Styela clava: one gene and its partners. The protein of the gene in region 2 binds, or shares a complex with, the protein of the main gene of each other region. Links are inferred from orthologs where the notes say so. Each region holds a gene or a part of one and is shown on either strand. Other genes may lie near its edges.

The links.
Region 1: the proteins of elongation factor 1-gamma-like (region 2) and elongation factor 1-delta-like are in contact, whole or in part, in a crystal structure (PDB 5JPO), measured with the Homo sapiens proteins. The link is inferred for Styela clava from reciprocal best matches to the Homo sapiens genes EEF1G and EEF1D. Residues at the interface, in NP_001395.1 of Homo sapiens: Tyr9, Trp13, Arg14, Phe40, Gly41, Asn44, Gly56, Lys57, Val58, Ser104, Val107, Pro108, Ser111, Thr112, Phe115, Ile120, Met121, His123, Asn130, Glu134; in NP_001123527.1 of Homo sapiens: Ala2, Asn4, Phe5, Leu6, His8, Glu9, Ile11, Trp12, Phe13, Lys15, Phe16.
Region 3: the proteins of elongation factor 1-gamma-like (region 2) and elongation factor 1-beta-like are in contact, whole or in part, in a crystal structure (PDB 5DQS), measured with the Homo sapiens proteins. The link is inferred for Styela clava from reciprocal best matches to the Homo sapiens genes EEF1G and EEF1B2. Residues at the interface, in NP_001395.1 of Homo sapiens: Leu146, Lys147, Thr148, Arg149, Thr150, Phe151, Glu155, Arg156, Pro185, Asn186, Arg189, Leu192, Thr193, Asn196, Gln197, Pro198; in NP_001032752.1 of Homo sapiens: Ala20, Asp21, Lys22, Ser23, Tyr24, Tyr28, Val29, Cys50, His51, Arg54, Asn57, His58, Ser61, Tyr62, Glu65.

What each region holds. Positions count from the first base shown.
Region 1 is NC_135255.1:3,746,462-3,757,249, forward strand, and holds elongation factor 1-delta-like, read left to right. Parts: upstream 1-6,560; 5' UTR 6,561-6,657; coding exon 6,658-6,795; intron 6,796-7,508; coding exon 7,509-7,589; intron 7,590-7,716; coding exon 7,717-7,869; intron 7,870-7,951; coding exon 7,952-8,146; intron 8,147-8,944; coding exon 8,945-9,037; intron 9,038-9,403; coding exon 9,404-9,505; intron 9,506-9,938; coding exon 9,939-9,977; 3' UTR 9,978-10,031; downstream 10,032-10,788.
Region 2 is NC_135261.1:11,229,877-11,240,016, reverse strand, and holds the start of elongation factor 1-gamma-like, read right to left. Parts: upstream 4,373-10,140; 5' UTR 4,257-4,372; coding exon 4,098-4,256; intron 3,019-4,097; coding exon 2,917-3,018; intron 2,091-2,916; coding exon 1,995-2,090; intron 264-1,994; coding exon 76-263; intron 1-75. Other genes in the region: uncharacterized protein LOC144430572, read right to left, coding at 5,969-6,087, 6,431-6,607, 6,798-6,983, 7,055-7,231, 7,789-7,965, 8,349-8,493, 9,264-9,346, 10,079-10,140. UniProt on the Homo sapiens protein: Probably plays a role in anchoring the complex to other cellular components.
Region 3 is NC_135263.1:4,632,674-4,643,511, forward strand, and holds the start of elongation factor 1-beta-like, read right to left. Parts: upstream 3,974-10,838; 5' UTR 3,895-3,973; coding exon 3,815-3,894; intron 1,684-3,814; coding exon 1,561-1,683; intron 879-1,560; coding exon 826-878; intron 1-825. UniProt on the Homo sapiens protein: Catalytic subunit of the guanine nucleotide exchange factor (GEF) (eEF1B subcomplex) of the eukaryotic elongation factor 1 complex (eEF1).

The DNA of each region.
Region 1 (10,788 bases), on a different chromosome or scaffold from region 2:
GTGATGGGCTACAATTGATATTATGATTTGGTTTATTACCATTCATTGGTATCAATTTGAGATACCGTATTTAATTAAAAACAAGCATAGCAAACTAATTTAATCACCTCCTGGCACAGCGTTCTCCGAATCACTACCCGCATTTCCGTCTGCTAAGTTCTGAAACGTAGGCCATCTCGTTGGAGAGTCACTTACATGTGAACAAAAAATACAGCCCAGTAAATAACTAGATGAGGATGGTAAAATAACACAGGGATATTTGCCAAATCACAAAACAAAATTGCTAGCAATGCAATTCTTTAAAACTGTCGCTTTTTTAGCACGGTATGTCTACTTACGACGGAAAAATTGGGTAGACATTTTCCTGTCCGCTTAATTATTCCACGTTCCATAATTAAAACGTTTTGCTATTTTTTGCTGAAATCTCTTTCTCTCTGATAAAACAGTATCAAAAACAATATGTTCTTTCAATATTTTTAAAATATCTGCATATTTTTGCCAACTTTGAGGGGACAGTAGTTCTGCTGGTTTATAATCAACGGGTATTATTTTCGTACACTAAGCGGACATTTTGTTTACGCGAAAATCTTTTAATTTTTCGGTATATGTCTTTACGATTTTTGGAGAGTAGGATTGATAATTTTGATACAATAACCAGGCAGAACATGAAGATCGTTCGTTCTGTTTTTTGCAATATAAGCTCAATAAACTGAAAAGGACCTCAATTCACAACTCCGTACTAGAGAGGCTTTGTGTCGCAATAGTAAAACTGTCGGGTTTGCCGAGAACTTTACCTACCACGTTTGCCGTTTTGTTCGCAAGTAACCTGGACGCCGTGAGGGGATCGGGATCTTCATGAGTGCGGGATTGCAGAAATTTAGATAAAATAGAACAGTTGTGTTTGGAGAAGCGATCCAAGTCTTTTGTGTCAGGTGTTATCAATTACCCAGTGAGTTGAAGTCGAGTCATAATAACTTGAAACAAGGTTTTCAACGTCACCGAAGAATGCTGCTGGAAATCATCACTCATCGGATAAGGTGATTAGTCATAACGATTTTTAATATTAGGGCTACTATATTATATTCATAAGTGATTCAAGAGTCTTGCTGCACACTAACACAATTTTATTTACTATGTATGTCTGAAGGAGTCTGATCTTGGTCAGACGAAACGTTACAGAAATATAATTGTGTTAGTGTGCAGCAAGACTCTTGAATCACTTAGGACTGTAGGATAGTTATCTTTACTCTTGCTACAGCATCCTTATGCATACGGATCCGCCGACACAAAAGCATAGAAGAAGGATAAGTAGTTAGTCCTGCAGAAACCAAATCATTAGCATATATTTTTGTTTTTGAGATTGTTCACTTATTCCTGATTATCAAAAGACTACTGATACTGTTATGCTTTTACTGGTCGTAGTTCTGATCTGACCATCAAAATATTGCTACGACTGGGTTTGCGTTTGTAAGAGTGTGTAATTCAGAAGGATTTCTAAATCCAGATGACAATACAAACGAAGATTGTGAAAATTCAATGAATTCAAATTTTTCTCGAAACAGAAGGAGATACGAGAAGCGAGTGGTTGACGCCACTTTATATAGGTTTGTATAGCTTTGTATAAATAAAAATATCTAATACACCGCTTCATATTAGATTAGAATATTTTATCTTCGGAAAACAGTTTTAAAGAATTGCATTGCTAGCAATTTTGTTTTGTGATTTGGCACATATCCCTGTGTTATTTTACCATCCTCATCTAGTTATTTACTGGGCTGTATTTTTTGTTCACATGTAAGTGACTCTCCAACGAGATGGCCTACGTTTCAGAACTTGGCAGACGGAAATGCGGGTAGTGATTCGGAGAACGCTGTGCCAGGAGGTGATTAAATTAGTTTGCTATGCTTGTTTTTAATTAAACACGGTATCTCAAATTGATACCAATGAATGGTAATAAACCAAATCATAATATCAATTGTAGCCCATCACAAATAGCGCAGCTATCTACGAATAATTGTAGTGCACCGTTTAAAAACACTGTTTGGTGCTCCCGAAGTATGCGAACCAAGATGGCGGACATCGGAACGTAACATGGGTAACAGGTTAGGGTTAGGCGATAATTTTTTTCCAGTTTTCCTTATTTTAGTCCTATTATCAGTTCGAAGACTAGCCAAGAGCCTCCCGTAGTATTTATACCTAGAATTATGGCCTAACCCTAACCTAGTACACATATTACATTGCGATGTCCGCCATCTTGGTTCGCATACTTCGGGAGCCCCCACTGTTTTATTTGAGTAATAATGCAATTCCCCATTTCAAACACTTCGTTTGTTCGGTCAATCAAGAGTACCGTAATTCTGAATTGGACTAGAACACTGTGATGATGTTTTGTGACTTATGCATGTATTTTTGACCAAAGTTTCAGATTAGTCAACAGACTATACCGCACCATCTTCAGAATCACTTTCAATAAGCAATGTAAGTGACTTAAAAGAAACTCATATATACGGAAAAGAAAAGGGCTGTAAATCAATTCCAAAAAAAGCTTCTAAATAAACGTGAACCAGAAAAGAAACGACGAAAAGAAAAATAATTGCACGGCTTTGTATATCTTGCTAGAAGTTTATTGTAAAGCTTCAAGACATCTCTGTATAATTCATAAAGATGAACCGGCAGTGAGCACATAATTTTGTCTCTCCTCAACAACTTAATCTAGTGGGCATATCCACATTCGTATACATACTTGGCATACATTTTTACTATTTAATTATAAATTCAAAATAACAATCATGTTTTTGTATTCCGAGTTGGTGCAAAAATTTTAAATAAATTGTGCAAAGATTCAAAATTGATATCGGGGTTGAATAATTTCATGTTGATCGCTTGTATAGTTGACTGTATAATCACTGCTATACTTAGGCGCGCCTTGATAGGTAGACATTTGAGTTATAATTGGTGTAATGTTTCTCATTTTAGTTGACATGGCAAAATTTCATTTCGCATTTATAGGCCCCACTGAAAACGCCACTTAATTGAACATTTGAGATATGTTGTGTGTAATGGTTCTCGATATTTTTTTTAGAGAATTTCGTGTTTTAATTACATACCTTCTGAAATGGTCGGATGGTTGAAATTTTTTTTGAATGCTTCCTAATATTATTGTCATTCCAAAATATCATTTTGCATTTACATGACACACTTACGTAGCTGAGTAGATGACGATTTGCGATATATTTTCTGTATTGTTCCTCAATATGGTTTCAAAATTTTGTTTTATAATATTTGTCACTCTCAAGTTATCGGATAGGTGAACATTTGAGATAAATTTTGAGCAATTTTCCACAACATCAAAATATAATTAGTATTCGAAATTTCGTATTTTAGTTATATTTCACACACTAAAGTTGACATTTGAGATATATTTTGTGTAAGATTTCTCAATATGATTTCAGGAATTGGTTTCAATAGTTGTATGCTACACTTAGGTAGTCGGGTATTCGGACATTTGAGATATATATTTTGTGTAATGTTCTTCAATATCATTTCAGAATTTTCATTGTGATTGTTTTATGCCACACTTAGGTGGCCGGATAGGTGAACATTTGAGATATACTTTGTGTAATGTTTCTCAATATGATTTCAGAATTTTCATTTCAATTCTTGTATGCCACACTTAGGTGGCCGGATAGGTGGACATTTGAGATATACTTTGTGTAATGTTTCTCAATATGATTTAAGAATTTTCATTTCAATTCTTGTATGCCACACTTAGGTGGCCGGATAGGTGGACATTTGATTTATACTTCGCATAATGTTTCTCATTACGATTTCGGAATTTTCATTTTAATGTTTTATGCCACTCTTAGGTGGCCGGATAGGTGGACATTTGAGATATACTTTATGTAATGTTTCTCAATATGATTTCAGAATTTTCATTTTATTGTTTTATGCCACACTTAGGTGGTCGGATAGGTGGACATTTGAGATATACTTCGTGTAATGTTTCTCAATATGATTCCAGAATTTTCATTCCAATTCTTGTATGCCACACTTAGGTGGCCGGATAGGTGGACATTCAAAATATATTTTGTGTAATATTTCTCAATATGATTTCAGAATTTTCATTTTAATGCTTTATGCCACACTTAGGTGGACATTTAAGATATACTTTGTGTAATATTTCTTTATATGATTTCAGAGTTTTCATTTTAATGCTTTATGCCACACTTAGGTGGTCGGATAGGTGGACATTTGAGATATACTTTGTGTGATATTTCTCAATATGATTTCAAAATTTTCATTTTAATTCTTGTACGCCACATTTAGGTGGCCGGATAGGTGGACATTTGAAATATATTTTGTGTAATATTTCTCAATATGATTTCAGAATGTTCATTTTAATGCTTTATGCCACACAGGTGGACATTTGAGATATACTTTGTGTAATGTTTCTCAATATTATTTCACAATTTTCATTTTAATGCTTTATGCCACACTTAGGTGGCCGGATAGGTGGACATTTGAGATATACTTTGTGTGATATTTCTCGATAGGATTTCAAAATTTTCATTTCAATTCTTGTATGCCACGCTTAGGTGGCCGGATAGGTGGACATTTGAGATATACTTTGTGTGATATTTCTCAATATGATTTAAGAGATTTCATTTCAATTCTTGTATGCCACACTTAGGTGGCCGGATAGGTGGACATTTGAGATATACTTTTTGTAATATTTCTCAATATGATTTCAGAATTTTTATTTTAATTGTTATATGCCACACTTAAATGCCGGATAAGTGGACATTTGAGATATATTTCGTGTAATGTTTCTCAATAGGGCTGGTGTTCATTTTTCAATTACGTGCCACATTTGAGTGACCGAATAGATGAACATTTGAAATCGAATTTGTGTGATTTTTGTCTTCATTAATGACATACCAGAATTCCCATTTACAATTATTTGGATAACTTAAAAGGCCGGATAGGTGGACATTTGAGATAAAGTTTGTGACACTCACAACATAGCATCTGTTTAATCTATATGTTACACCATAGGGTTGGAATATGCGAACATTTGTGATATGCTCTGTGTATTTCTCAGTTTCAAATATATATTACGTTTGAATCAATTTGTTTCGATTTGTCTACCTTCACGTTGCATTTTGAGTATTTTTTGACATGGAAGATTATTTCTAACACCAAACACAGTGCCTCTCCCTTGCACAAAATACTGAACATTGAAAAAAAATGCTATTTTCTGTGATAAATAATGCTAAATGGTTCGCATCCATCGGAAATTAAAGCGAGGTCATACGCTTTAAAATGCGTAATAAAATAAAAGCAGCATCATTTATGTAGACATCCAGGGCGACATATAAGAGGGGTCCGGCTTAGTGCCGAAATAGGCTAAAACATTTGGTGGTCTGAATTAAGTGGACGAATTAAGCGGACAAAAATTTTATATCTGTTATCGAGAGGATTGTGTTGACTCTTTTTCTCTGTAGTTGTCAACGGCTCTCGCGCTCTCCAAGTACGTATTTAAAAACAATGATACAGACACAGGAACGACGTCCGCTTAAGTACTGCAATTATGGCAGGTCCGTTTAACTACCGTAATAGAGTTATATATATATATATATATCGCCACACCCATCGGGTATTTAACACAAGTACGTGGATTTTAAAGAAATTGCAATCAAGTTGATTTAAGCGTTGGGAACACTCTCGTCGTCGCACTTCTGATTGTTCTGTATGGACTCACAGATTTGAATACCACGGGGGATCATTATGTACGAGAGAATCGCCTTACTCAATATCGTCGAACATTGGCTAATGTATCCTCTGAAAAGTACGCTTTCCGTACAATCAAGTCTATGAGACTGAAACGAATGAAAGGTTTAATATGGCATAATACGACGCTTAGTCGCGCCTTTTGCCACGAAAAGCTCAGGAACGAGCAGCCATTGATACCTAACGTCATCTTAAAGAATCTCGCCACGGATTTATTTCTCTGTCGAAGTTATCCAAGCTATATGGGCGCTCATTTACAGGCTACGCCTATGGAAACTACTCCCAAGCCGGCTATTGACTGGTAACCGGACGAGAGGGCATTATTCGTAATATTGTTGAGTCGTATTATTGGCATTCCCCTTTCATTTTATAAATATGAAATTCATATTCTATAATGAGTCCTAATATGGTATAAGAGAGAATATAACACACTGGGCATTTCTTTTAAGTGACACCTTCCACTAACATCTATTACAAATGATACGACGATAAATAACCCTCAGTATGAGGAAATTTTGCATAATTTGGGTAGGTTATGCAGAGCATAAAATATTCTGTTCCTTCCAAATAGTGTATACTTCCAATTTCAAGTATCTGGAACGCTAAACTAGAGAAGTAAATATACCTATAAGCTCGAGATAAAATTATATATAGGTGGATAGAGTTACAGAGACTGGAAATTTCAGTTGTTTTGTTCACCGGATATTGCAGTAATGGTGCTCTGAGCACATCCGGTAACATGCTTCATTTCACGTGTTCATGACCTTTCACCTTCTGATTTTCGTCAGTTTCCACGATTTTGGTTTCTGTTCCATCCTTCAACTTTTCTTAATTTCGTGGATCAGATTTGATTTTATTGTCTATAAAATGCCTTCAACCGTCCCCATTTCACATTTGCTGTCGGATGTTTGGTTTGACCGACCAAAGGTTGAAGAAGAAGAATACAAATATGAAGTGTACATGGCGAAACAACGGGTAAAACCAGCAGCAAAAGCTGACAAACGGGTGATGGTGATAGTATTTTAATAGCGGTGGTGGTAGCTTACTATGGTTTTGTAGTTGTTTTTGAAATATGGACGTTTTCATGTACTTGATAAAATAATCGAAATGAAACTGTGTTAGCCTATAACCTAACTTTAAATCTCATTCAAAATTATCAAGTCTGTACTGCTCTTAAGTCAAATCTCTCTGGTGAATTAAGCCTGATTTATTTTTTTCAATATCTGAGGCGAATTAAGCATAATTTTAATATTTAGTCTATTATTTGAATAAATGATAGCCTAGTCAAAGCATCATCCATATCTGATTTAATTCGAAAAACAAAGCAAAAAATAGCATTACTAGTAATTTTAATAAATCACCCTGATCAACCATGCTCTGATAATCACACAATTGTCTGAACCCTACTAAATTTACTCATACCCAGCATCCTGAGCCCCAACCAACATCCTCGACCTGTTGTCTGAGTTCTCATCTCAGTAATGCAAGGTCATAAAAATATTACTGTATTACCCTGTAAAAGTCGCCACTTACAGACTTACGTGTTAATAATTTATGAAATAATTTATTTCAAAGTAATTCAGATTTTACAAATATTACCGGTACTTGTCTCATAATACTGTAATATTTATGCATGAATTGTGCAAATTTGAAAATCTTTTCATTCTGTGGTATCATTATAGACCTAATAATTAACTTTTAATTATATGAAATTCTAGGGTGCTTGTGGTTCAGGTGTCGCAGAACAAATTGCTCAAGCCAGACAAAAAATACATCAAACACTACAGGGATCTGATACTGTATGTTGCAGTTTTTTTTAGATTACCATATTATAGTAGTTATGTCTGATACTTTTTTATATTTATTAAATTTGTTTATCAAAACTAGGACCCTTTATTCCAACTTTCATATAAATCTATATTTTAGGGAGTTAGTGGCAATGACTCTGGGAAAGTCGATGCAATACGAAGTGAAAATGATGATTTGAGGAAGTTGGTGAACACCCTCGTTGAGAGAATGAATGCGATGGAAGCACGACTGAGCAAACTAGAGTCTGGCAGTAAAGAAACTGCCGTGCAGGTTGTTAATTGTATGAGTTGGTCCATTGCAAATTGCTGAACATCAATTTACCTTCTTTTATGTTTGTTTAATGCAAGTATAGCCTTCTAAAACCGAAATTGAGCAAAAATCAGAATCTGACGATGATGTTGACGACATGGATTTCTTCGCATCTGACTCTGAGGAAGACGATGAATATGAAAAAATAAAACAAAAAAGATTGGCGGAATATGCTGAAAAAAAATCTAAAAAGCCAGCTGTGATAGCAAAGTCTAGCATTCTACTCGATGTCAAACCTGTAAGTTTCACTTATTATTTAGGTTTTTCTAATGAGAATTTCACCTACTCCAGCATCCAGAACGTACTGGAAGGACCATGTGTTGTCTGGCATAATGAATTGTATGTTGCTTGACATTTAGTGTTATTGGGTGGTTTGTTAATATTATACTTTTTTAGGTGTTATATATTATCATGGAATTATATTGAACAGTGTTGAGTGTTTATAGCTTTTATGTTTAGGTTACATAAATGTATTTTGTACTTGTTTATATGTCACTGGACCATTTGTGCAATCAATTAGATCTTGTGTTGCTCATTTTACTAGCAATACAGGCCTATATATTTTGGCAACTAGGGAATTTAAGTGTGATCACTTTCCAAGACTAATGATGTTAGGGTCAACCCCATGTGTGGCTTGTATTTAGAGCAGCAGTTCTCAAACTTTTGAAGCCGTGCCCCCTTTTTAGAATTTGTCAAGTCTCGTGCTCCACCTTGAAAATGTGTCCCCTTTTAGGAATTTGTGAAGTCTCGTGCTCCACCTCGAAAATAACTACAGTAGCTAACAATCAGCTACAAATAAATAACTGATGATAAGGCGCGTTGGCGCAAAAAAACGTTGAAAATACGTGGATTTAACGTAAATAATGAAAAAAATTGTCCACGCGCCCACAGTTTGAGATCAACTGATTCATAGCCTTGTTTGCAGCAGAAGTGTAAATACAACAAATTATAAAAAGAACGTAGAGCTTGTTTCTACTTTTGTGATTGTGATATTGGTCTCCTTTTAATTAGGAATTCTTACCTTCATTATTAACAGTGGGATGATCAAACAGACATGGGGGAAGTGGAGAGACTTGTGAGGAATATCTCAACAGATGGATTGAAGTGGGCAGCATCGAAATTAGTAGAGGTTGTATAAGATTTTTGCTATGTAGTTGAATTGCTCCCTGCAAGCTAGATACATTGAAGTAGAGGCCCAATTGATGTGTTACCTTATTAGTTATAACGACGATTCAATTTAATGTTTGTGGAACTATAAAAGCAATATTGTATAATATGAATATAACAGTACTCTGTAACCAACTGATGATTGCCATTACGATATGCCTAAAGTAGTTGTTATAAGTATTCTTTTGATTGGTAAATTTCCATCTGGATGACATAACAATATTGAGACTGTATGCATTGTTTGTTGCAAGCACAATCATATCGGTAAATGCAGCCTAGTTCAGCTCATTTGAAACATCATAATGGTACAGAATATACTATTTCGCAGGTTGCGTTTGGAATCAAGAAACTTCAAATCAATTGCATTGTTGAAGATGATAAAGTTGGAACAGACTTCCTTGAGGAGGAAATTACTCGTCATGAGGACCATGTGAGTTTGTTATTGCGAAATTCAATTTTGAGCAGGGTGGTGAGTGGTGGAAGTCTTGGGTAACCTCAAAAGATGTTATTGTCATCACACAGTCGTTTACCAAAAATTAGGATTTTGAACAGTTATATTTTAGTATTATATATCATGTTTTCTGGCAAACCAATCGAACAAAAAACTTCTCAGCAAGTATTACTGGTATTTAAATTAAGTGATATTGGTCTTAAAATGTTTGTCTATACAATTTGAAAACCAAATTTTTGTCTGTAAATTTGCTTTAATTCCTGATATTTTTCATAAAAACCGTTTAATGTATGATTTTTATTACGTTACGCAGGCAACCTATCATGTAATTCTATAAAAAAATGTATAAGCGTGGATTTTTGACACTCATTTTTCATATGTTCTCCCTTTTTCATACTCTCTACTTTTGCAGGTTCAAAGTGTGGATATTGTTGCGTTCAATAAGATTTGAAGATCATATTTAATTAAATCCAATTCTTGCAAATAAAATTTAGACTATTGAAAATTTGTCATCTTTATAACATAGGAGAGACTCTGAAATTGTGCTGCTGCTGTGTTTACTATTTCTTAGAACCAGTTCTGATTCTAACAGGTTGAGTGCGCACAAATTTATTATGATTTATTAGGTTTCATAGAAATCGTGGGTTTTTCATAGCAACCAATGATTTTTATACAATGAGCCATCATCACATTCCGGATCTATCAATCTCTGGGTAATCCCATGATGAATGTTGGGACGAGCAGGCACACAATCTCCTGATGTTTGGGACCTATAGCCAATTTATATACCAGGGGATCGATCACCCTATTGATACCAGACATAGCATGTGCATTATAGCTGGGATCAAGAAATGTGATATCGGCTGCTTCAGAACAATAGTAGTTCCTGAATAAATAGTGTATGTACGTACATCAGTTTAAAATGACGTTCTGCTTAGCTGACCTTAGTTAAAACTAAAGCTCTACATGGAGGTCTCTTATGCCACAAGTACATCTGACAAACAGCCAAAAATGCTTACAAAATTCTCTTCTGCCATGTATTTTTAAGGGGGATCGTGACCGTCGTTGAAAAAATCCCAAGATCTGCTATAAAAACTCAGAAAGTACAACAGTGATAATACATATAAAGTAGATCGAAAACATATATTCATCCCCACAAAACGGCTTCTGAAACAGTCATCGCGATTACGCCACCTGCAGTTGCTTCGGCAAAATAAACACATTACTACTCGACAATCCGCGACTTGACTGTGCCACTGTAT
Region 2 (10,140 bases):
TTTTATATACAACTTATAGCCCATATATAAGTTTGCGGTGTCAATAGACTATCATGCAATAACCAATTGACCTACCTATTGACGTTTCCAAAAGGCTTGCGAAAAGCAGGATCCAGAACAGTTTCATACAGCATGCACAGAGTGCAAGCAAGACTTATATCTGCCTGAGTAACACGCTCACCAACAAGAAATGTCCGTGTGGCAAGGAAACCATTCAATGCAGTGAGTGCAGATTTGATATCAGATTTAGCCTTCTCAGTATTCTAAAATTAAAAAAACTATCTTTACAGAATTTCTGTCTATTACATTGCTATGCAATTTTATATGTGGTGATCGATCAATATTCGAATATCTGGAACCACATGACCTGCGCTACTTTGCTTGGACACGGAACTCGCGCCTCTCCAAATCGATCGTGAATCGCGTGAGAATTCACATTCAGCGCTCGCTAACAGACAAAGGCGACAAATTTGAGAAATCGTTGTCGTTGCGCTATGGTGTGATTTGCTTTCTTTTTGCGCCCAACGTATCGTTTCAATTCCCCATTTTGCATAAACACGTATCGCACCAGACATAAAAGTGATTATAGAAAATTAAAAGTTGAAATTACCTTTTCGAGAAACAATTCATGGTATGACGCTTATAAGCTATAACCAGGAAAGAAATGACAAGCCAAACTTCATTTAATGTATTTTCTATGAGCTCTTTAGTGAACCCTTCCATCGATGAGCAAGTAATTTTTCAAAAAGATGAACATTTTACCAGGTCATGCATGTCCGGTTGAGTGATAAAATCGTGAACGAGTCTAGATCGTAAAATCAATCATGAATTTCGATGTTACAACGCACACTCTCTCGTTTGCGAATTGTTGCGCCTATCATCATCGGAAATGAATACATTCGTTATATTCGAACATTTTTGCACTAAAAAATTAGGACGTGACAGTCACGTGACATTGTCAAAATCTTTAAGTGAAATGGTGAATTTGCAAATTTCGTAACTAAAATTGTGAATTACTCTGAAACGATTTTAGCTATAATGGTTGCCGGGATATTGTTTTGTTAAAAAAAAAAGGTTGAAACTTGAAAAAATTAGTTATAAGAGGTGTCTTGACCAATTTTTCGGCACAAAAGCACTCGAGCGCAAAATGTTTTTAGCATTGGGTCGCATATGTACAATAAAATATTATTCAAGAAGTGCTGTTTATTAACGTCATCTTGTTTTATGACCACCTGGAAAATGCCTTTATTGTCAATTTATTTAATCACATTTCGAATCAACATTCAGGATTGATGCAATCGCTTTGCGAGGTTAATCTTTCTAATACGAAAATAACACAGGCACCATGGAAAAGCATAAGAAAGTTAATTATCGTCATAATAAAAATCTGCATCTCGGTATCGATAATATTACCGCACGCTTAAAATTCGGACGGTAAATTTACAAAAGTTGATAAATAATGAAGACCAAAACCAACGCAACCTGTATAAATAAATCCTCGCAAAAAACAGAGAACGGGCGGGATCCAACTTCAGGATATCGCCGTAAAAACCGGCCAATGAAAAAATATTCGTTATTCGTTAAAAATATTCAAATCATTCGATTCGAAAATTTTTTCGATTTTGCCCACCCCTACTTAAAACCATCTGTAAAGAGCAATTTTTCTGTGAATTTCAGACCAAAATTATTTGAAAGTCATCAAAAGAAAACTGAACTACCCAAATAAAAACTTTGTATATCTCATCAAATAATTTGATACCGAATGTCATAATATGACCCATCCCATACTTCCTGTTTATTTAAGAATAGAATAGGGCATCAGTAACAAGTCTTCAACTCTAGCAATCATTTGAAAAAATCAACACACCCTATTTGTTACTGTGTCTTGATTTTATAAATGGAAAAATGAAAAACAGTGATAACTAAAATATTCTCACATCCCATTTAAGCATAAATTATTTTGTGGTGTAACACTATACAACTCTTATTATTACCTGTTTGTTAAACTGAAGAATTCCTTTGGTCGGATATACCCACGTGCAGGCTGCAGGGAGAATAACATTGTCAGCTAAGCCTATCCATTGTAGTACCTAGAATAAGTCGATTATTTGAGTTCTTGAATAGTGAAGGCTGGGGAATGGTATATTGTTCCCAGCATTGGGAAATGTCTGCCGCTGAACCTCTGATTACCCTGCATGGGTTTGCAGGTTCGAACCCAGTGCAATTAAACAAATAACTGACAAACTAATGATGGCTCGGCAGTGTGGCACATCATGCTAAACTTTAGAAATACGCCCGCCATCGCACCTAGGATTACTTTGCGTGGGTTTGCAGGTTCGAATCCTATGCACGCAAGGACGGTTATTTACAAGAGGATTGCTGGACTCCTCGCCGCCGTAGGGTGGTTGATGAAACCATTGGTCAATTACGGCTTCTTTGATAATGCCGTCTTATCAACTTTCCTATCCCCAGGATATGTAAATCCTATCCTGATACCATATCAAACATGGTCTGGTTACCGAAGACAGGCCAAGGCAAGTCATGTGATTATGCCATCCTATTGACTTTCCTCTCCCCAAGGGTGAATATGAAAATCCTATCATAAGCAAATAACCTTCATCCTCTTAGTAACATTTGATTACTGTATGACAGATAGATGTATAAATAATGATTAAAATAAGGTTGAAAATATGTTCCTGAATACGAAATTAAGAAAACAAATTTTGAAATCCAATTCATTTAAATTGTTGAAAAATATGTTTACTTCAATCCATAAGTAACATAGCCGTTGTTGCAGAAAAGAACTAAACGTGCATGCATGGCAATGGATATAGTAATATTGCAGAATTTTCCAATATTAAAATTGTAGCTTGATTTTGAATCTATATAAAAAATTAGGATGCCAAAATTTCTTACTTCTGCCTCTCTGTCTCCACCTCGGGTTTGTTCGTTTCCAACATAATGAGCAATTCCGTTTGGTTCAAATAGCTTCACATCACCACATTCAAATGCTGGAACCTGTTAAGATATCAGTGCATGCTTTTCAAAGGGTTTAAGTTAAGAATGATGAAAAGTGTTGCGGAGGATGAAAAAATTACTATAATTATTGAGACTTAAGAAAGTTTGAATGGAATTAGTTTTCGCTTGAACTGCATTTAATGACAATATTAAATATTTATAATAATTTAGAAATGTCGGAATGTAGGTTATTAAGTATGAAGAAAGTTTGAATGGAATTAAGTTAGTTTTTGCTTGAATTGAATTTGGTGACAATATTAAATCTTTCTAATAATAAAGTAATGTACCGTAATAAATATGTTTAGGGTCTGGTATAGTTTCGTGCCTCAATTACCGGTACTTCTGATGGGCGTAGAAAACACTTTTTGCATATGTCAATACTAACCCCCACCTGACTGCGTCATGCAAAAATTACGTCACAGTGACGTAATAAGGCCCTTCAAACTATACGAACTGTCATCCAAGACGCGCGCCTAAAATTGAGCTATGTATTTCTGGGTCTCGTGTAGTTTCGTACCTAACGTATTTCTCATAGGCGTAGCATAACAATTTTTTGACATTGCAATCCTAACCCTCACCTGACTACGCCATCCAAAAATTATGTCTCTACGACGTCGCAATCACGTCATAGAGCTTGTCAAATACTCGTATGATCGCCCGAAATGGCATCGGCGCCGACGATAAAGAACTGACTAACGTCAGCGATCTCTCTCCTATCGGGATCGTTGCGACGAGAAAATGAGAAAAATGGCTATTCGATTTCGGGTTCTCGTCTGCGCGTCTTGGATGAGAGTTGGCATAATTCGAAAGGCTCTATTACGTCACTGTGACATAATTTTTGGATGGTGTGGTCAGGTGGGGGTTAGGATTGACACGTGAAAAAATTGTTATGCTACGCATACTAGAAGTACCTTAGGTAGGAAACTACACGAGACCCGTACGGTACCGTATTTCTCTCGTCAAACAGTCAGTCGAAATGATCCCAATACAGCAATATCAGAATATGGGAAAGATCGATAGACCCGCTAAGTTAGCTAGACAATGACAAAAAAACAATTAAAGGATCTTCACCGTCCTACCTTCCCAAACGGAAACTTCTTGAGAAATTCCGCCGATTTATCTGTTTCTCCAGCAACAAAGTTTGGATAGACATTAACTGTCTTCCCGCTATATTGAGCAGCAATCAGGATCTTGTGTGCCCGGAAACTGTCGGGAAATGTATATAGTGTGCCTGACATCGTAAAATAAACTATCCAGAAGTTCTGTACCCAACCAAATTTCGAGATTTTAACCAAAATCGCGAGAGCCGTCAGCGTGCAAAAGTCGGACGTCCACCATGGACAAAAAAGGAGTAAAATGACACGCGGTTTTGTATACGTCATTTTATTCTCCGAATGTCACTACCTGACAAACACTTAGATATACTAGGTATTTTAATTTTATTTTGGAATGTAATTACCTGATATTATTTTACTATTTACTTATTATTAAACACGAACTGAACCTATAGATCGTTTTGTTATTAATAATATTATGTTGTTGTTAGTATTCTGAGTTTTTTTGTTGTTGTTGTTGCTGTGAAAAAATCATTTGTCTTTTCAACTACTGATTCGATTTCTTGAAAATTTTTAATGATCTAAGATTGTTGTTGTTACTAGGAGGCCATTCTGTTATTTGTTCCTATTTATTTATTTTCTATGAATCTTATGAGAGCTTATATTTCGTTCAAAAGTTTATTTATGGGAACACTGTTTTTATTCGTCCAAGCGTGACGACGCAGGAGTTGAATTTGTTTATTGAGGTGTAAGTTGTAAAAGTTATAGGATACGATTTTCGGAGGAAGTGTGTGTAGAATATTTTGTTTTGGCTTTCTTTCGGTGGGTAAGGTTTTTGAACCAGGGGTCAAAAATTTTGCCCACCTAGTCTGGCGGGCAATGTAAGTGTGATGTAAAAAGTTACATTTTATGAACATTATTTATAGTGTTACAAAGCAAAGGTGAAAAACATTAAGCCTCCTAATAAGACTGAATTTAATCGCAATTTCAACAAATTCCTTGAGTTATTTTAGCTAAAACATCAAAATTTGTTTTTAGTTTGGTTGTCACAGCATCATGCGGGCCAGATTGAATTAACCAACGGACTGGAGTTGGCTCGTGGGCCGTACTTGGCCCATGTCTGGTCCAGACCTTTAGTTATCACGTAAAATTATCTTGCTTAGTTTGATTCTATATAAATTTTGAAAATCCTGAGCGTGTATTTTTTTACATATCCGATGAAATTAGAAGCATTCCCGTTTGAAATTGCGTTTATCACTGAAATGAAAGCCCATTTTTTTACATTAATTTGTGACTTAACGTGTAACTGAAAAACAAGGTGGGTCACTTGTTACCCGCTGGTCAATCGCTCGCCATTACCATATATATATATATAGTCTTAATTGAAAAATACCGTACTCCTAATCTACTATTATTCTGAAGTGGACGGCAAAGTTTATGTAGTACTTGACCAAATATGCACATTGACGGTAGTGTTGCGCGTTGCGCCTAATAAATGCTGCCTTAAACTCCGTGTTACATACATCCGTGCTTAGATATTAATAAATTGATGAGCAATTTTTATTTTATGCATTTAAAATGAGGTCGTTCGGGGGTCCAAGAATCGTTCATGAGCTCAGTTTGCCGTCCACTGCTCTACTAGAGTCAAGGCAATCTTCTCAGCTCGGAGCGCAGGGTATTACATTCGGTACGTGAACTGTAATTCTTGCGCTAACCGGAACTGGAGAATACAAATTCATACTCGCGAGTCCAATATACCGGTATGTAGGCCACCGTTGCATGATTATTTATTTAAAGGTTCAGTACAAATAAAGCAAATAAATTCAAGCGTTTAATACATTCACCACATAATTATTCGTGTCGTGAGATCTTGATTTAATATTGAATTGCATTTATTAGTTGATAAGACTTAGCATCCAGTTCAGCCAAGTTCGATTATCGCCTTGCAGAAGACTTCGTTTTACGATAGGACGACGTGGTCTGGAAGGTCTTCTCCAGTCTCGTCTCGACGAAGCTACAATATTGATAAACATTTGCCAAATTCTTCGTTCAATTCAAGCAGAACTTGAATCAATTGATAATTATAGTTATCTAATATACCACTAAAAGTTTATATTCCATACGTCCGGATGCTTATGCCACAAAACTTGATTTGGAAAATTCTGTAGACGACACGTATTTTGATGAATTCCATCATTTGTCATTTTATTACGCCTTTTATTTTCTAATAATATACAATGTTCCAGTTAGAACCAAAGCTAAAGTTCATGGACTGGACAACACGCATTTTAATGAGTCACATGTGGTTCAATCCAGTATTGTTGCGTGACTTAATATAACCCATTAAGATGACATACCTTTATTGCATGTAAATTTTGGCGTTGTCCACTCTCCATTTGTGCAATAAACCAATGTGCGTCCCCGTGGTTCATGACCACGTAAGCATACATACACAACAAGTATTTGTTCTCTGTTGAGTCGCCTTTGTATAGTTGTGCGAGCGTTTTCTACGGACGGTGGATTTTGACAACCAGCTGTAAACATGTATATATAACGTGTTATGCTTTCATGACTAGTAGGGCGATGTGATCAAATTTTCCTTTGACATATTCAGAAGTGATGCTTCGGCCCAGAGAACGTTTCTTTCTGTCCTTCTTGCTCTTTTCGTTATTTTCAGTAAATCTCTAAATTTTACAATAAATTCATAAAATATTTGGAACTTACCGTGGCATGCGAATTCAGGACTTTCCCACTCTCCGTCCTGCCCACATTTTATTCTTGGTATTCCACTCAGTTCGAAACCGTTTTTGCATCTGTAGTAAACATATTGTCCAAAGCGTATCTGTCTTCTAGTGGACACAAATGATGTTAATACGGCGTTTTTAACAATGGTTGGTGCTGGGCATGTTCCTAAACACAATACAAATATAAAACATTAGTTAATCGCATTAACGAACCTAAGTATATAAATGGCTTTTTACCTGCACAAACAAGGCGAGGTTTAGACCAAGTCAAATCATATTCGCATCGTGAAAAGGCATGTCCTCTTGCTCGGTAGCCCGGCTTGCACGCATATTTGACAACATCGCCAATAAAATATCTCTCTTGTAATAAAGGAACTTCCGCATTTTTCACCGGAGGAGGCATTGGACACGAAACTTGAAAGAAAGAATAAAAACAATATAATAATTTATTTTAATCTAGAATGATCGAAAGACTTGGATGGATATCATTAAGATTTCTTGCTATGGTATAAATTAATGTAGTTTCATCAATCTTTAATATTTGGTAAAAAGGAGACAAAAGAGAAAACATATCATGTGGGACATCTGAAAATATAAAAAGTCATCTCAAGTAAAATTTTCTTTAGTTTTTGATAGTTTTTTTCTTCTTTTCGTTCATACTATGTCCATTTCTAGTTGCTATACTTAAAAAATTTGGACTTCTTCATTTTTCCATAGATATGTCTGCTCTTAATTTTGAGTAAGGTCTTATTCGCAATAATATTCATAATTCAAGTTTAATTTTATCTTTCCATCGCGACGAATTTTGGATTATAATATTTGTTCACGAGGAATCCAAAATTGGTGGGCATATTTTATTGCATTCGTATTATAAGAAAATATAAATAAATATAGTTGTTCGTTTTAGTAACATTGTAAACCTTTTTAATTAAATACATTGCTATATGTGGATATAAGTAGAGGAAGCTCACCAATACAAGTAAACTGTGGTTCTGAAAACTGTCCATTTTCTTGACAAACAACATGATTAGTTCCATACACTCGATACCCGTCTGTGCACTGATATTGGACAAACTGTCCAACTCCATATGATCTTACTGGATCAATCACAGAGGCATGATCAATTTTGGGTAATTCTTTGCAGCCGACTAAAGATTGTCAAGAAATTCACACTGGATTATTTATTTTATAGATAGTATTATTTAAAGGTATAAAAAGTTTTGTTAAATAGCATTAAAGACTCTGAGTTTATTGCCAACAAGTATCTCCAAAACTTACGTACAACGTTTCATGAAAAAATGATGAATGTATAAAGTAGAGAGGTATGTTTTCGATAAATACTTACGATTATGTACTTATACGGAAACGTGGAGAAATGTGAATTAGTTGTTTAAATTCGAAGGACATTCGAAGCTGGCCTTCCCTGTTGTATGCTGTGGGGCCAAGTCGAACATATATCCGACAGTTTGGTATACCAAACAATGTCATTTAATGGTTTATTTATACTAATGGAACTTTTGTTTCTTATTACCTGGAGCCATTTTGCAGGTAAATTTGATCCCATAATGACATGGAACGTCATTCCATTGTCCGCTTCTAAAATACAGCATGACGACACAGTGTTCTAAATCCTGTAACAAGCTGTTCGGTTGTCCTGGTCGCCAATGTTTGTAGGTCTACATGAAAATGAGTGGGCGCGTTGGATACAGTCAGCCAGGAGGTAGTTTATTTTCCCGCAAACCAAAAGTACACATTGGACAAACGTAATTGAGAAAGATAAAAAAATGTATTGAAGGGAAACGCGATAAACCAGAGATGGTTATCGAGCAGCGTCACCTTTGAGGCAGTGAGTCTAACATTTAATCATACTGAGAAAGAAGTCAAACATAAAATACTAACAGAAGCAGCACTTTGAGACACATTCAAGCTACCCGATATCCCGGTGTCACTCTAGTTAATAGAAGAAAACGACTCCAGACACGCCAGGCCGCAGTACAGCCTTCCTTCACATAATGAATTGGCGTTTTAATTAATTTGGGCAAGTACTTTCTACGGCCACGTAATTTAAGGGCCTATGGCATGAGAGTGAAACTCTCATATGGCATTGAGGAAAGCCTTGAATCAGAAGAGAAATATTGGTTTATAAATAAATATAAATGAAGTTTCCTCTATTATAACTATACTAGTATAGACTGCCCACGAATCAACTTCTGGAGTCTGTTGGATTCTTGAATGATTCACCACAATACCCATTGTGACATAGTTGTCCATCGTCCAATTTACAATATAGTGAAGACGTAAAAACCAGTATTGATTGATTCATTGACAGTTTTATTGCATTTATTATTCGTCTTTCTATTTTTGATTTTAAAATATTATTCATTTTAGAAAACCTGTCATCAATGTCAGTGATAATTATTCTCACAAACCCCATTTGGAAACTCACGATTGGGCTTTTATCAGACCATACAAATTTTGCTTCTTCGTCCAAGTCATTGAACCCAATCCATTGATAATCCAAAGCCAACCCTAAAAGACAAACGTATGAAGACACAATTAAGCTATTCAGTCGCGATGAACTACCTGTGTATCACTATATAATATAACGGAATACCATGATAGTAGTAGTTTGGGGTAATAATTAAGAGAAATCGTGAGAAAACGCAGATCTGGTGGTAGTGGTTGTTCGAAAAGAAACACTAAAGGAAAAAGCATCGAACGTAGTTATTTTTACGAATTTGATAGCAATTCTGTTCTCTTGTGAATCATATTTCATAAATGTATGTACATTTCAACCTCCAACTTTTAACTATACTTCAATAAATAAAAATTAAAACAACAACAATAATTAAGTATATGAACATGGAGGTTGTGCATCATCGGTAGGGCCGATAGCCTGCTGAAAAGATTGGTGAACAAGCAGCGTGCCATGTGGTGGTATAATATGCGCAAAACAAGCTAACGTTCGAGTGAAAATTCAAACCCCATAGCACTTGAAGAAAATTTAGAATGAAATGAATGTAATAGCCTTCAAGCGACTTCTTCCATAATTATATTCTGAAATAATTTTGAAATCCATTGGTGTAGTAGTTGTAAGAAAGCGATTTTTTCACAATACAAATTATATCAGGAACAAAAACCTTGAATAAACGTCTCTCCATCTGTCTCGTGTCCAACAAGATGATTTGATCAAGAATCCGACAACTCAACTTTGTTGCTTACTTACGTGACTACCAGTAGAATAATCATAAAAAAACTTACTGTTTAAAAATCCATTTTCTCTTCTTGAGTGTACACTTGCTAAAGTCGCGTTGTGCTGTTCA
Region 3 (10,838 bases), on a different chromosome or scaffold from region 2:
CTCAAATTTTGAAAGTTTAAAATCTCGAGATTATTCCAAAGTGGAGGCGTAGTTCTTACTACTTCATGGCAGCTCCTGCCACGAACGCCCCGCAGCGTCTCTTGCCATGGTTTCATGGCACTATTAGCGGTATATTAACAAAATCATGTACAATATTTTAATTATATTTACTTAAACCTCAACCTAACCCCAAATACATCAAAACTGTATTCATACGAAAAAGCGTTCCAACTTACCCAATATTTATCACCATCAGGGGCAGCCCTGCTATTACAGCCGACATGCCATGGTTACGGCAGCAAAAGTGGTGGTATTCGATTTACTGCCGTAGCCACGGGAGCTCACTATTTTATTTCTCAAATTTTTGAGTTTAAAATCTCGAGGTTACTACAAAGTGGGCAAGGCATTCAAAATGTTATGATCGGAAAAAAGTATTTTTCAAATTATAAAGTGGTTTTATAATACGAAATATTAAATCACTACTACTTGGGGTACATGAGCTGGTTTTTGAGCACATAAACGTTAGTATGTATGTATGTTTATTTGCCTCAAAAATATAACAGTATCTGCATAATAATTGAACGATATACAGAGACGGGATACATGTTCAAGACCTTACTGGCCTAAGACACGGATGCGCAATATGCAATACAATACAAAGAGGTACGCCACAACGATATGTACAATAACGTTTCAACCGAATAGATGATTTTATGTTAAGTTCTGAACATGGACAAATTTAAAGTCATTTTTTAGGATATGTATGAAGTATGCATAATATGAAAGCACTTTTATGTAAAAATAATAAGATAATAATATTCAAACCTGCAGCCTGAGCACCTCCATATTCAGCAATTGGTTTCTTCACTCCAGGAAGGCTGAAAGTAAAAGTGACTGTTTTTTACCTTATCAAGATGAATCAACATAAATAGGATCTAATCCAATTGAGATAACTCGCCGTGCGAGCCGCTAGTTTACAAGTTATCAATCCATTCACATCATTTTGATGCATCAACAAACATTGCCACCACACTATGTAAGGGCGAGTGCAGGATTCCAACTACTTACACTGCCGCTGGATGTATGTAGACCGCACAATACAAAATTTTATTTGATTCTCAGACTTGGGAGGGTATAACACTACACCAACCCTATGTTGCTGTGCACTCAGTCCTATCGATCCAAATTATTATCTCAGCATGAAAAGCTTTGTAAATAGGTTTCATCACTGTGCACTGGGGAGTGAGGTGTGATCTGACAGAATCACCAGTCTTTCAATCATAATACCATTATCCCGACCAGATGCGCTTCGATTTTCAGTGGGGTCCAAATTGCCCTAAGGTGTCTGCAGCAGGATAATCATAGTTAGGCACACTTTACAAACGAAGCTACGGTCTCAACTTACAAGAAACTTCGGGTTGAAAATACTTAACTATTGACCATCAAATTTAATTAACAAAACTTTTGGCATATGTAAGACTTCTTTAATAAAATGCTGAGAACGATAGTAAAACCAATGTTTTATGGATTATAGTAGAAAGTTTTGACTGTTTTACCAACCTTCCAAATTGTGATTTGTATGAGAGAACATGATTGTACCAACGTAACGCATGAACATGCTTGGCATTGGGTGGGCCGGATATACTTTCAAATATGGCAACATCTCCTTGTGATGGAACATACCTAAAATTTAAAACAAATATCTTATTTTACTGTGTGAACATGTTGGTAAAAAACTAAAGGGTCTCGTGAAGTAAGCGTAACTGCTTGAATATCCGCAAACACAAATGCGGTGAGTACTTCGATAACGCCAAACATAAATGTGATGTGAAAATAGAACCCAGATTTTCAATTTTTTATAGAAATGAAAGTCCGTCTTGCGCAAATTTCACATCACATTTTAGTTGGGCGTTATTTAAGCAGTTACGGTATGGTATCTACTTCACTCGATCCAAACTAAATGGCAATACCGGTAATGTAATACCACCTTGCAAAATTTAATTACAATTCAACTGCCAGAAAATAAAAAGATAGCTGCAGCCCCAGCAGTTTTTAAATTAGGTCAAGACAGGTTTCCAGATGTATCAAACCCATGAGGCCTTTACTTCCTCATACACTAATTACAAATCATAAAACGCAGGAAAAAGTTTTAAATGAATGTCCAATAACTGAATAAAGTTCAAAAAATCTCAATACAGCAATACCGTAAAAGCGCCTAACTTCGGACAGTTCCTAACTTCGGACAAAATTTTTGAACGGCCATATCTTGGCTAAAACGCGCCGTATATTGGTAATTTTAATTATTATAGGTTGCGCTGTTATATCTACATCTATTCTCATCTTTTTTAATGTTGCATTTTTATTTTTTTGGTGAAAAAACGGAAATTTTGCCGAAAATTGACTGCCCGCCATTCAACGGCGCAGAGCGTCGCTCCTACTGAAGCTATCCTCGTCAAAATACCATCATTCGGTAGAGGGCGACAACAATGTATATAATTCATTTGAGTGATCGCAAGATGTCGTACGAGATTTAAATAAAACCTAAAATTCTGAATTATAAATTCCGTAAGAATATTAAGATTTCACGCAGCGTCAAAAATTACGTCAAACTCACGTAGATTATTTTTCGCTCACTTCCGACACGACGTCACACTGCGTCGCGGAAATGAATTTTGACGCCAGACACAACGGAGCCAATATGACAATTTCCGTTAAGATAAAGACGGCGTTCCAATGTAATATTTTTGTATTTTGTTCGGTCATGTATGAATATATGCCAAAATTACATTAATGAAAATACATGTCACACTTAATCGATGACGTTAAAAATCGAATATATAAAACTATGGAAATTCCAACGTCCATATGGCACAGTGCACTGACTCGACCATTATTTTATGATTAGTAGTCGAAATGACAGTTATTGAGGCCTGGGTGAATTTTATTCACTCGAAATTAAAAATAAATTTAATCTCCAACAAATAAACGGGACCTACATGTTTACAAGATTAAGTTGAATTTTAAATTAAACTTCACAATCGGATTTTCCGTGTGTTTGATATAAATTATCATTTATAAAGATAACCGCGCAGAATAAAAATATTAATACTTCAAAGACTTCGATAGAAGCCCGTTAAAATACTTCATTGTGGATTGAAACGGTTTGCATCAGATATATTTACGTATGCATTTCCTGATTAAAATGACTAACGTGTTATTATACTCATCTGAAGTATCGAAAATGACGAACGAAAGATGTAAACATAGGACGACGGAAGTTTCAAATAATGCATTTTCGTCGTGACGTCAATGTTACGTTACGACGACGATCGAGCGTCTTATCTTCACGCAACGACGTGATTACGTCATCCGCATCGGAAGCCTCTTTCTCTCTGTGCGTCGCGGTTACGCAGTGAAGAAAATGACTGTCCGAAGTTAGGGCAGTGAAGGATAACGGTCAGATGGCAAGAAATATCGATTATTTCAATAGTAAAAATAGTCCAATTGAACCGAAATTTGCAGGGAATGTAAATTACCGCACGAATTTGCAACGTTTGGACAATAAATGGCCGAGTTATTGACGAAAATATAGTAATTTTGTCCGAAGTTAGGCGCTTTTACGGTATGGGAAGATAACTATTTTTTAGGAAATGTTGATATTTTTTATATAGAAATCCGTATTCATTGTAATCCCTACAGTATTTGCAAGCATGAATCCCAAAATATGTTTAACTGTTCGCGTATGACGTCACTGCCCTGCCCACCTTTTTTATGCCCATTTACACGAGATAATTTACAAAAAAATCAAGCTCACCCTTCGATATAGCTTTTATCTTCGAGATAGGTATTTAGTGCAGATAATCCACAGTCACTCTTCAAATTTCCGAAACCCATTTTAAAGAAATTACGGCGATTAAACAAAAGAAGAGAACGAAATCCAAACCAAACGCGTGGCAAAATTTGGGAAAAGGGTTCTTCAGTGAACACGGTTCATTGCTTTGCCGATAAACCGTGGTTTCGTGCCACGAAACAGATTTTGGGCCGAATTTATCCAGAAAATCAATGACATTAAACAACATGATGCGCAACTCCGGCATTTTTGTCCGAAGATCGTATTCGATAGCACGCTCCAATGCACATACTTGACGAGACGAAAACGAGCGGATGTGTGCTGCTTTCAAGGCGTAGCACGAATGGTGTTCGTGCCTGCTTTGACAGTTGTTGTCGATTTTAATGATATTTTGGAAAGTTAAGGTAAAAAGAAATCGGAAAAAGGTAAGGTAAATACTATTGTTGTATATCACACCCGGGCATCGCACTGTTAAGTACATGTGGGAAAGTCAGCCTTTGTCAAATACTACGAAGTTATACATGCAGTACGGTACGTGGTTGCCCATTTGCCGAAATTACATATTTACTTACCCCTTATGGTTTCAAATAGTTCATGCACCTCCAGTTAGATTTTTTTAATCAGTGAGGATATATACTCATTGTTGATTGCTGCTCATTGTAACATACTATTGCGCATTCACTTTTATTTGCGTATTGAATCAAAGTGTTAACAAGTCCACCTAACATTTCACTCATACCGGTCTATATTGTATAGTCTGATCTCTCAAATATTTGGAGCCACGAATGCTTGTAATTTTCTGACTAAACCCTTTTATTAGTTTGTTTTATTGACCAAATTCAGTAAAATATTTTTTACATAAAACATGAGATATTGGATTCATTAGCTTTTCCATTCTAAATCATATAGACTGCTTTATTTATTCTTAACGAAAATTAATAAATCTCCTCTCTTTCTTCAGATGTGAAAGTTGTGGACAAACCTGTCTAAGCATTGTGAGACTCCTGCAGCACAAGAGGCAATAGCAGAAATAGTAAGTATATCAATCAAGAAATTAAGCCGACATAAAGCAAAACTTTCAATTATTCGTCTAATCACAATTTCCTATTATTTATTCACAGAACAACTATAGCAGAAGGGGAGATATCAGAAGTCTGGCGACATATCAGTGACATGCAAAGACATTTGACCCTCCGGTAGAGTTGTGTATGACCCCTACATCCTGATTCCTGCAGGGCTTGAGGAAAATAACTAAAAATTGCAAAGCGTAAAATTACATACTCGGTCTTATTTGTAAAGAGGCACAAAACACGCCAGACATACTTGAAACAGCTTTGGAAAATGAGGATTACGGGTAACTCACTGCACCTGTGTTATATTTGGTTCATCACCTTTTGGTAGTACTATAGAAGAAATTCCGGAAGGGGTATAATCATCATTCATGATAAAATACTATCATATATATTTTTGGACAACTTCAATCTAGACCAGAGATCTCAAACTCGCGGCCCCAGAGAACTTCGAGTGCGGCCCTCGAACGCTTAACAATAATTGTAATAGTATTTTTATTTTTTTTTTATCTAAATGTAATAGATTTTTCAAACCTTTTAAAGTGAAATTGATTATTCACACAGAAAACAATTTACTGAAAGTAGTTTTGGAATATGAATTTTTTTTGTCCACATTTTGACCCAATTAAGAATACACATCAAGCTTGCAAAAGAATACTTGAATAAACACTTGAGTGATTAAATTAAACGCAAAGTACATGAAGAAGGTGGCATTTTCGAAGAAAATGGGAGTTGTAACTTTTCTGCTTTTCGCAAAATTGTCATATTTCTATCAATACAATGAAAAAACACAATAAGCTCAGCAGTCAATATGACAAATTCGAAGACCCACTTCGAACAGAAAATTTCCATGTGTTTGTATATTAATATATTTATACAACGACTTAGTTACTAAAAATCAATATCAATAATAATTCAAGCAATCCTATGCCACGCAATGTGGTGCGAAATGTCTTGTCGAAAAAATCTGTCATTTGTTTTTTTACTGATCTACAGTATACATGAAATGATAAAAGTACTTTTTTTGCATTACTGGAATTGATTAAACATTCGCAAAGATCCAGATTAACCCATGATCATGTGGCCTCGTTAGTTAGAGTTGGTACTATAAAATCATTTCAGCCTGGCCTTAGTATGCTGGTGACACAAAAAAGATGCCAAACGTCAGGACAAATGTAATTATTAAAACATTGAGTTTATACTGTAGTATTTTTGTTAATTTTAGGTTCATATATTTAGATTAAGTTATTTTTAGTGTATGTATTATTCTTTCCTTATTTAAAGCTTGTTCAAAAATGATTTTGATGGTTGTACATAGAATTTTATGATTTTTCATAATAACTACAGTAACTTGCAAATGTTGCAATAATAGTGGAATGCAAATATTAATATGTAATTGCATTTGAAATTGAAGAAAATAATAAAACTTAATCCAACTGTTTAGTTGCATCACAATATATGTCACAAACTAAAACTATCTTAAAAATATCTTTTAAGTATACATTATCAAAAACTGTTTGCGGCTCTTTTTACAATTTCCAAAATGCAATGCGGCTCTCGAAAACCCATAAGTTTGACACCACTGATCTATTCTAGACGATTCAAGCATTGCTTTGGGAAATAATATCACTTCAATTAAATTGAAATAATCTCGCTATATTAAATACAAAATCGTTGCTATCATAAAGGTAAACCAATTTAGCCACTCGAAATATATTGGCCTTCACAAAACAATGGAGGCAAAATTGAGAGTTCATGAGCTATGAACATTTGTTCTTTTCTTTGTCTTGAACTTTTCATACTCCACAGCCCCTATTAATTTTTTTTAATTTTAATTACCATGTGATGGTCATACATATCTTTAACTTGTATTTTCTGTCATGATGTATTATCTCAATGTGCCAAACTATTAATTAGTGTGCATATTTTGCTTCCAGATGACATAAATGTATTGTCTTGTTTATTACCTCAACTTGGAGTATTGACAAGAAAAGGTACCAGTAAATTAGATAAAAAAAATTTTAACTCTTTGTTATAATCAGAATTCACAATCAATAGGAATTATAAACAGCCAACCATCAATGAGAATGATATGTGAAATCCCTCATAATAAATTTGTCTAAAATCGGAGGAAGGCAAATAATATAGGTAGTTTCCATCCACACAAGCATTTCAAGAAGACTTGCTCGAGCCAAACTAAATGAGCATCGTCAGGTGGTCGGTAAGGCTGCAAGTTGAATTCAGCCCTGCAACCTACCGCATAGAAAATAATATTAATTAGTGGGCTATGAGCTAAATTCCTAAATTTAAACAAACCTATCTACGATGCATTATGTACCAGCAATGTTACCTACGATTAACTGAATATGTAATATGTCTAATAAATTCACCTACAAAAGCAAGTTCGATAGGTGCAAACTTTGTGTTATGGAATTGTATCACAGCACAATTTTGTATGACACCCTCCTAAAAAGAAACTTCAATGATTAAGCGCAAACATTAAAATTACTAACTTTGAACTTTGTCATTATCTGCAAAATGTTCCACACAAATCTTTCCGCTATCGCGTTTGTAATCTTCTCTGATAAAAAAAAAACGTCTATGATGTCCAGAATTGCTCTTTACAGCTTGCCTGCCATTCCAGCTTTCCAAGTGAGCAAAACTTCTTAGATATAGAGATTATTTTGTTTCGTTACAGACGCAAAAAGACAGGTACTACACGTAAAAAAGACGCCGAGTAGCAAAAGCGAGCGGAAAACGGACGCGAAAGTCGACGAGAAATATGTGCATTGGAGCGTATCATGAAATACAATGTTTCGCCTGTAGTCTTATGGAGTGACGTCAGAGTTGCCTATCATGTTGTTTAACCCTTTCCATGCGATTTTTATTTTTAATTAAATAATCGTATTTGCTACGCCGATTTTACGCATTTGTACCCCCACAACTAATCGATCGACTAACGAAAAACTAATGATCCTCTGCTGCCCACTGACGGCTCGTTGGAAATCTTATTCAAAGAGCTTGCAATTGGCGATTGAAAAAAAAAGTTTTTTTAAAAGTGGTGGTCTGAGTCACAACCCGGATAGAAAAAAGGCATTTTTTTTTCCTTGGGAGTTGAAACTTCAAACCGTGATAAAAAATAGAAATATTCGCTAAATCCTTTACTGTTACCGTTTCGTGGTTGGCAAACAATAGCATAATATTGCTGTACCAATTTCGTGATCTAACTCAAAATACTTTGGTAGATGGAATGGATAATATGTCTTCTATTACCACCCAAAAAACATCGAAATTTGCATAAATTTCAAAAACACTCCCTCGTTCCGCCGCAAATAAAATTCCCGTCGTAAACGAGAGCGAGATTTACCGTCGCTTATGTTAATCTCGAAGAAGACTTCTTATCAATAAACTAAAACCCGGAAAAACTAGACCAACAGTTTGCGACCGATTGCTAAAGAAAACAGTGGAGTACATCAACGTACCCGCCGCAATCTAGCGACTTTTGTCGTTGGTACGTATACGTGCCCACCGCACGGAAAGGGTTAATGTCATTGAGAAAATGAAGTGTATATGTACAAAGCGATTATTAATGAAAATTGCAGCAGCAATATTATAGATTAGTTTACTCTATAAATTTAAATATATAAGATGGTTATGCGTTATCAGTATGTAACCGTAAATTTGGAAAACCATCACTGCTTACATCCCCACCACCACTGTCGAATTGGAGATGGCATAGCCTACTAAACAATAAAACTAGAATGCAACAGAATAATTTCTTGTTTACAAAAGTCCATCACGCTTTGAATTTGAACTGCATGTATTTTTATCTACATAGTTTTGCAAATATTGCCTGTCAGTTCACAATGGAGCAATCCAGGTCTTCGTCATTCCTTCACTGTAACAATCCGGCATGTCATAGACCGTATTGTATCTGATAATCTCGATAAGGTTATTCGTTACCAAGTGTGATTGTTGTGATTGTAATAAAATTTAATTAATTCAATATATTTAGATGGAAAATTAACTTGGTAATTGTTTACATATACAAAATTTTACTTTCTATAGAATGGAGAAAATGCGTCCGGTTACAGCACTTAGACTGCTTGCGGTCAACAATAGTGTTACGGTCGCAAACGAATAAGAAACCGAAATTGTGATTATTTAAATGTTTCTTTTCTTCATAACGCTAATTAGATCAATATTGCCACAATATATAATTCTAACAGTAAAATCATGTTTCGTTTGGGGTTTACCTGAATTCCCTTTACTTTTTAGCTGTTGATTTCGATATTTTTTGTTCTTGGCGCGGCGGTGTGGCTCAACGGGCTAAGCGTTAGGGATACGCTCGCCACCGCACCTCTAATTACTCTGCGTGGGTTCGCAGGTTCGAATCCCATGCAGGGATGGTTATGTGCGAGAGGATTGCTGGACTCCTCGCCGTCGTTGGGTGGTTCACGTAACCGCTGGTCGGTTACGGCTTCCTCCACCACCAAGTCCATGCTTCCGAAAACAAACAATACAGTAAAAATAATCCCATACCCGACTTGGAATGGTAAGCGGACGAGAGGCCGTGGTTCGCCATATGGATAAGCCGTCTTATTGGCTTTCCTCTCCCTCGGGATAAATATGTAAATCCTATCCCATCCTACTGCATTAATGTTCCTTCACTCGATTAAGATTATTAAAAAAAATTAAAAGCGATGGATGACCAATGAGACGACACCGTATATACACAATATTTACACATACCGGTAGGTTTTGTTCAATGCATTTTGGTGCGATATTATTGAATATTAAATTTGTAATTAATTTATTTTCATCATATGTTAGTGTGGAACTAACAGGAATAAATATTGCTGCATCGTATTTAACAAAAAAAAATTTGAGGAGTGAGGGTCTTACTTCACCATATTCAAACTGGCATACATTTAGCCAGACATGACATCTAAATGATAAGTTCCCCAACTCAATTATTTGGATTGATTTTGGTTATTGGATCATTTGCTATTCTGTTGTACCCATAGTAATCAACTTGAATTTCCCATTGTGTTCTGTTTCCATCAACGACTAACATACCGGTTCCAATATTTTTTATCACTGGCATAAAAATTTTAGTAATCCTACCAAGATGCATATAATATTTTATCATGATTTTATTATCATGAACAACTAAAAAGTTCGTTGAGTCAGAAATTTACCACTTGTTGCTTTTAAATTCATTTTGGAATTCCTATATGTGAGTATTAATTTATTGATTGTTTTGAGAATCCTTTTTGAATTCAGCACTTTTCAGCTTTTGCACTTGCTGACTTCTGGACTTGTAGTTACAGAGTTAGAAGACTGTAAGTTGTTCTTGTAGGTGGGGACAGGTAGTCATTTTGGATTTGTGTTAGGGCTGTAGCCTGTAGGGTGGTGAGTATTGAATGTCATGCCTAGTTTGACTTAGTAGTGTGGAATTGTCCACTATGCACAGTGCACTACCCGACTACAGTTCATTTGGGATATTCCAAGTTGATCAATCAACAGCAAATCCACAATGTCAGAATATACAGCCGTACAGACAGAATGATGTAGGCTGGGTCGTAATTTGCTCTATTTAATTTGACATATTTCATGATTTAACTGAAAATGCTGAAATGTGGTCTGTAGGTACAGAAATACCGGACACTAATAATCTTGAAATCAGTTCTTGTAGCATGGATAATAGCATATTACAGTATTTTCAGAGCAATGCCAATACTGCAATATGTTGGTTTTCATATTGCGAATGATTTCCAATCGTATCACAGACTACGCGACTGGAGTTCAACATTTACCTAACCGCCGATAGAACGAAAGAATTTGGAATAACGAATGTAGAAGAAAGAGAAACAGAGAATGTGAAGACAGTCGCATTTTGTCATAATACCAAAACT